Linked DNA regions of Xenopus tropicalis. Each later gene encodes a partner of the first gene's protein in a complex. Links are inferred from orthologs where the notes say so. Each region holds a gene or a part of one and is shown on either strand. Other genes may lie near its edges.

Region 1 (3,657 bases):
TTTGTGGAAAGGACAATGCTGGGTTGAGTAGGTCAGAAAAGAAAGAATGTTGAAGTTAAGGCTTTGGGAGGTTGACCACAGAAGAGCCAAGGCAGGGGTAGGTTGGCTGCTGAAGAGCTGAGTCATATGTTGACCAGAAAAGGCTGGAGAAAGCTAGCCAAATGTTTAGGGTCAGTTTCTGAAGGTTTTTGAGGGAAAATCAAAGGGCTAGGGGTACGTTGGATAGGAAGTGAGAAGAAGCTGGCAAGAGAAGAATGAAGGCCTTTGAGAGGTTTTCCAGTAAAGAGTGAAGGACAGTGAAAGTTTGTACAAGGAAAAATGGAGACCAGATACTGGCTCATGAAGAGTGGTGGCCAGTGAGATCTGTGCCAGGGAAGAGTGTGGGTTGCCAAGAGGATGGCCTGGAATAAGTAGAAACCAGAGATTAGTTTTCTGGGAAAAAGACTGCATAGTAATGTTAGGTGGGTCAGAGGGGAAGTGGAAGTTGGCTATGCATAAACAAAGGCTGGGTGGAATTGGAGGACATTGATGAATGGAGGCATCCTTAGAAATGGATGCTTGAGGCAGGTTGTCAAGCAAAGTGGATGTTAGCAAGGGAAAAGTGGAGACGGGAGAGAGGTTAGTCATGGAGGATTGGTGGAGGTTTGCCTCTAAAGGGCCTAATCTGGAGTTTGGTAAGGTAGCTGAGGCGAAGGGACAGAGTGAAGAATGAGAGGAATGGATAAAGGATACTGGATATGGAAGAACAGTCTTGAGGAAGGTTGGCCAGCATAGTAGCAATGGTAATATATTATGCTTGGTTAGGGTTAGCTGTACAAATGCTAGCTGATGACGAGGTGGTGGCTGTGGAGGAGTTAGATGGAAGACATCTGTGCATAAAGCTGACCTTAGGGGTAACTGCACACTATACAGAATATTACATTTGAACAGCAAAAATCAAAATATATTGTGCCTTTGTAGGGCAGTAGAAGGTAAAATGCTATACTTCTAGATTTATTTGACCTGGCAACAGAAAATTATTATTATTATTAAAAACAAAAAAAAGGCTGGCCCATGGTGGAGATGTCTCAGTGTTGCTTGAAAATTGATTACAACCTATTATGATACTGACATTTGGAATGTACTGTTCCTGTACTCTTCCAGGATGAACTTACAGCTTTGAATGTGAAACAAGGATTTAACAATCAGCCAGCTGTGTCGGCAGATGAACATGGCAGTGCTAAAAATGTCAACTTTAACCCTGCCAAGGTAATTTCTCCTATCCAAAACCAAATATCCTCCATATTTAGCCAATGCCAGTTACCTTGTTTGTTTCTGGGTTCTAAATAAATTCTACTTTGCATTTATAGATCAGCTCTAACTTCAGCAGTATCATGTCAGAGAAGCTGCGTTGCAACACTTTGCCAGACACTGGCCGCAGGAAACCACAGGTCAATCAAAAGGACAATTTCATGCTGGTCACTGTTCGCACTCAGAGTTCAATCAACACCTGGTTCTCGGACTTGGCTGGTACCAAGCCCCTCACACACCTCGCAAAAAAAGTGAGTCACATGTTTAATCGCTTTGTGCATATGTATGTAATATGACATGTACAAGACAAGAGCTTTGGTTTCCTTTACAGAAGAGAACCTTGGAAACATCATGTAATTTTTGTAGTGACCACTGCAGAGTACCTACTAAGATAATATATGTTTAAAATATATGCTTGTAGACTTTTTTTGTAACTGTGCAAAAAAACGTTTTAGAAAGCAGAGCTGAGGGTGTCTGGGTTGAGGTTAGCAAGGGGTTCTGAAAGGATTTGGGCGAAGGAGTTCTGATCGTAACGGATCCCGACAGTAGGATGCAGCAAGATACATAAAGCCACATATGCTGTGGAAGTGAGACTGAAACTAAACAGCAGCTGGCAGTGGCGCCTCTAGTGTTTTAGAAGATTCAAGATAGACATCTTTCTTGTGCAAGAACAGGCGATCCAAGTCCTTTTTAATGGCAATCACTGACTGTCCCGGTTGCCTTTAAAATAATTCTAATTAAAAATGATTTATTCTTGATCCATTATAATATGTAATTGTTAGGCTGAGATTGTCTGCTGCTAAAAACAGAGTTATTTGGAAGAGACCTGTAACCCCAAAGCTTCCTAAATGTTTGCTGAAACCTGACAGAGAAAACTTTAAAGTTATTATCATCGCAGCACTATTCATGGTGCTGCAAAGGGCTTTTTCACCATACCCTTTAAACTGTTATAACCATGATGTTGCCCTGTTGGCTGTCAGACAAACACCAGACCTCCAGCTGGAGAGCACCAGGATCTACATAAATTGCAAAATAATAGAATGCCTTCGAGCATCCAATATATGGTGGACAATTACCCTCTCCTACCATTTAGTGTAAGGGTTGCACTATAAGTTTGAGGGCAGGGGTCATGCTCATATCATTTCTGAACATGCTCAATGTACTACATTCTTAATCTGCAAACGCATTCCTACAATTTATTACTAAGAATAGATCACTATGTCAGATTTAGGCTTTAGGCCTGCACTAGAGCAAATCAAACACCTAATATAGTTATTTGTCCCTTCTTCGGTCTCACCGGACTGAAATCTCTTATATCTTCCTCAGTTGTTTCTCAATGATTGGGGTTTTTAATTCTGTTGAACGCTATAGAAGCCAAGAAGTTAACTGCCCGTCAACTGCAACATAGAATAGTTGGCAATGGTGATGGGCCATAGAGGCATATGGAGTCAGAAAGTCGTTTCGTTTCAGCCCTTCTGTCTTACCATTGGTGCAACCTTTGTGCATCTTGAAAAACTTCCAAAACTTCCCTTGCAGCCATTTTCCCTTGATTTTCTAGTCTTAAAGGAACAGTAACACTAAAAAATAAAAATGTTTTAAAATAATTAAAATATAATGTACTGTTGCCCTGCACTGGTAAAAGTTGTGTGTTTGCTTCAGAAAGACTACTGTAGTTAATAGAAATAGCTGTTGTGTAGCCATGGGGCAGCCATTTAAATTGAAAAAAGGAGAAAAGGCACAGGTTACATAAGAAGATTACAGATAACTGTGTAGAATACAATGGGAATCTAGGCTACTTATCTGTTATCTGCTTAGTAACCTGTGCCTTTTCTCCTTTTTTCAATTTAAATGGCTGCTCCCATGGCTACACAGCAGGGTATTTATATAAACTTTAGCAGTGTTTATGAAGCAAACACATAACTTTTATCAGTGCAGGGCAATAGTACATAATATATTAATTATTTTTATACACTTTCATTTTTTGGTGTTACTGTTCCTTTAAGTAAGAATATCTCTGCTGTGGTATCTTCCAAATTTTGTGAACACATTAGGAAAAAGCATAACAGGCTTTGTCTTTGTGCATAAATCTAATCATAAAAACACTTAGTAAATATGGTACAGCCTACATTTCAAACATAACCTCTTTTCTTTTTCGTGACATGCAGGTACCCATATTTGGAAAGAAGGAAGAAGTCTTCGGCTTTCTAGCTCGTTTCTCAGTGCCTGTGATGAGGGCTGCCTGGCTCATTAAGATGACCTGTGCATATTATGCAGCCATTACAGAAACCAAAGTGAAAAAGAGGCATGTCATGGATCCCATCATAGGTAAAATGCATCTCATTTGGGTAATAAAGGGACATGTAGAAT
Region 2 (3,757 bases), on another chromosome or scaffold:
AATATACAGAGAGGGAATGTTCTGGGCACACAATAAGCTGTACCCCCATACTGTACTGTCTAAGGGAAACACTATGGCACCCCCTACCCATATGTATAAATACAAATATACAGAGAAGGAATGTTCTGGGCACACAATAAGCTGTACCCCCATACTGTACTGTCTAAGGGAAACACTATGGCACCCCCTACCCATATGTATAAATACAAATATACAGAGAAGGAATGTTCTGGGCACACAATAAGCTGTACCCCCATACTGTACTGTCTAAGGGAAACACTATGGCACCTCCTACCCATATGTATAAATACAAATATACAGAGAAGGAATGTTCTGGGCACACAATAAGCTGTACCCCCATACTGTACTGTCTAAGGGAAACACTATGGCACCTCCTACCCATATGTATAAATACAAATATACAGAGAAGGAATGTTCTGGGCACACAATAACAAAAAAGAAAGTCTAAGCAGGCACTGCCCACACAGGCTTTTCAATACAGATAATAAGGGAAAGTCATATTCAATTTGGGTCCCAATTTCTTAGGGCCCTTATGTGCTAACCAGGGGCCCCAGGGCCACTGTATCTCTATGGAATTATCTTTATTTACTCGCTCTCTGAGACCCCCCAGTAACAGGATCAGGGTTAGAGAGCAATCCCAGCAATCCCACAGGCACCAATAACACTGTCTCTTTAAATTCTTCTTGATTCTATTTATCCTGAAACAACATAGACAGACTGGCGACTCTGTAGCAGCAACTCCACAGCAAAAGTGTAGCCCATGGAGGATTATGGCCCCCCCCCCCCCTTCCATCATAAATGGAATATAAAACCTGAATACAATTGTCCAATAGGCAGCATCGCCCTCTAGCGACCAAAAGAGGTATCACACTGAACGCTATTTAGCAAGTTGGCAGGGAACGTCCAGTGTAGGTAGAAGTACACATGCGCAGTCTCCTTTCCGCCGTTACAACCCCGCCTCTACTGAGGCTGGCCAATAGAAATAGGCGTTTCTCGTTCCTCCTATTGAGAAAACGCCGCAGTGACCCTTAGCCAATAGAAACCTTTATTGTACCAGTTAGCCAATAGGAAGCGGCGCTGAAGGTATGGGCGGCTGGTTCGGCTTTGCCAGCTGGAAAGATGGCGGACCGGCTGACGCAGCTCCAGGACGCGCTGAATTCGGTGAGCGCTTTATCTGTGTGTGGGGTTTGTGGGGTTTGTGGGGAAGGGAAATACATCCTCTCGCTGCCCGCAGTTGGGTCCCATCTCGGCTTTATAGTCACATTGTAACTAATGGTTTATTCCATTCATTGCTCGCAGCCCCCACACTGTGTCCAATGGATCTTATTACCCAGAACCCCATGTCTATGAGGGTTCCCTCAGCTGATGCGGATTATATCGCCGCCCCATCCCATATATATCCCCGTATATCCCATATATATCCCTGTATATCCCATATATATCCCCGTATATCCCATATATCCCCCTGTATATCCCATATATATCCCCGTATATCCCTATATATATCCCCCTGTATATCCCATATATATCCCTGTATATCCCATATATATCCCCGTACATCCTATATATCCCCCTGTATATCCCATATATATCCCCGTACATCCTATATATCCCCCTGTATATCCCATATATATCCCCGTATATCCCATATATCCCCCTGTATATCCCATATATATCCCCGTACATCCTATATATCCCCGTATATCCCATATATAGCCCCGTATATCCCACATCCCCCTGTATATCCCATATATATCCCCGTATATCCCACATCCCCCTGTATATCCTATATATCCCCCTGTATATCCCTATATATATCCCCGTATATCCCTATATATATCCCCGTATATCCCATATATCCCCGTATATCCCATATATCCCCGTATATCCCATATATCCCCGTATATCCCATATATCCCCGTATATCCCATATATATCCCCGTATATCCCTATATATATCCCCGTATATCCCATATATATCCCCGTATATCCCATATATCCCCGTATATCCCATATATCCCCGTATATCCCATATATATCCCCGTATATCCCATATATATCCCCGTATATCCCATATATCCCCGTATATCCCATATATCCCCGTATATCCCATATATATCCCCGTATATCCCATATATATCCCCGTATATCCCATATATATATCCCCGTATATCCCATATATATATCCCCGTATATCCCATATATATCCCCGTATATCCCATATATATCCCCGTATATCCCATATATATCCCCGTATATCCCATATATCCCCGTATATCCCATATATATCCCCGTATATCCCATATATCCCCGTATATCCCATATATCCCCGTATATCCCATATATATCCCCGTATATCCCTATATATATCCCCGTATATCCCATATATATCCCCGTATATCCCATATATATCCCCGTATATCCCTATATATAGCCCCGTATATCCCTATATATAGCCCCGTATATCCCTATATATAGCCCCGTATATCCCTATATATAGCCCCATATATCCCATATATAGCCCCGTAAATCCCTATATATATATCCCGGTACAGATAAGTACTTGCTATTGGCAGCAGTGCCCAGCTCCACCCCCAGGTTCTGACTCCTGACACAATGTAGCAGGTCAGTTTAATACCAGCCTATTAACTCCCTCAGTGCCAGGGGGGCATTGGATGAATGGAGTTGTAACCCCTCCCCTTTGTCTCTCCAGCTGGCCGATCAGTTCTGCAATGCCATCGGGGTCCTCCAGCAGTGCGCTCCCCCCGCCTCCTTCAGCAACATCCAGACGGGCATCAACAAGGACCAACCGCCCAACCCCACTGAAGGTGAGAGACTGCGAGTGGCCCCCAAACTGCCCCGTTACCCACCCAAATGCCATTGTAACCACGCCCACTGCGCACTGACACACCCCCAGCACTGACTACCAGACCAGCACACAAAGGGTGTGAAACTGTCTGTCACTGCTCTGTGTGTATCAGCCAATGCGTTTATAGACACGGGGTAGGAGTACCGGGAAATACACTCCCCCGTGCACAGGAAGCAGAGACAGTCACACGGGTACCAGGAAATACACTCCCCCGTGCAAAGGAAGCAGAGACAGTCACACAGGTACCGGGAAATACACTCCCCCGTGCAAAGGAAGCAGAGACAGTCACATGGGTACCGGGAAATACACTCCCCCGTGCACAGGAAGCAGAGACAGTCACATGGGTACCGGGAAACACATTCCCCCGTGCACAGGAAGCAGAGACAGTCACACGGGTACCAGGAAATACACTCCCCCGTGCACAGGAAGCAGAGACAGTCACATGGGTACCAGGAAATACACTCCCCCGTGCACAGGAAGCAGAGACAGTCACACGGGTACCAGGAAATACACTCCCCCGTGCACAGGAAGCAGAGACAGTCACATGGGTACCGGGAAACACATTCCCCCGTGCACAGGAAGCAGAGACAGTCACATGGGTACCAGGAAATACACTCCCCCGTGCACAGGAAGCAGAGACAGTCACATGGGTACCGGGAAACACATTCCCCCGTGCACAGGAAGCAGAGACAGTCACACGGGTACCAGGAAATACACTCCCCCGTGCACAGGAAGCAGAGACAGTCACATGGGTACCAGGAAATACACTCCCCCGTGCACAGGAAGCAGAGACAGTCACATGGGTACCAGGAAATACACTCCCCCGTGCACAGGAAGCAGAGACAGTCACATGGGTACCGGGAAATA

What was found.
Region 2: med12 (region 1) and med21 share a complex: the UniProt entries of both Homo sapiens proteins name them as parts of the mediator complex. The link is inferred for Xenopus tropicalis from reciprocal best matches to the Homo sapiens genes MED12 and MED21.

What each region holds. Positions count from the first base shown.
Region 1 is NC_030684.2:44,402,713-44,406,369, forward strand, and holds part of med12 (mediator of RNA polymerase II transcription subunit 12), read left to right. Parts: intron 1-1,143; coding exon 1,144-1,248; intron 1,249-1,349; coding exon 1,350-1,541; intron 1,542-3,455; coding exon 3,456-3,615; intron 3,616-3,657. UniProt on the Homo sapiens protein: Component of the Mediator complex, a coactivator involved in the regulated transcription of nearly all RNA polymerase II-dependent genes.
Region 2 is NC_030679.2:3,066,265-3,070,021, forward strand, and holds the start of med21 (mediator of RNA polymerase II transcription subunit 21), read left to right. Parts: upstream 1-1,114; 5' UTR 1,115-1,140; coding exon 1,141-1,182; intron 1,183-2,734; coding exon 2,735-2,849; intron 2,850-3,757. UniProt on the Homo sapiens protein: Component of the Mediator complex, a coactivator involved in the regulated transcription of nearly all RNA polymerase II-dependent genes.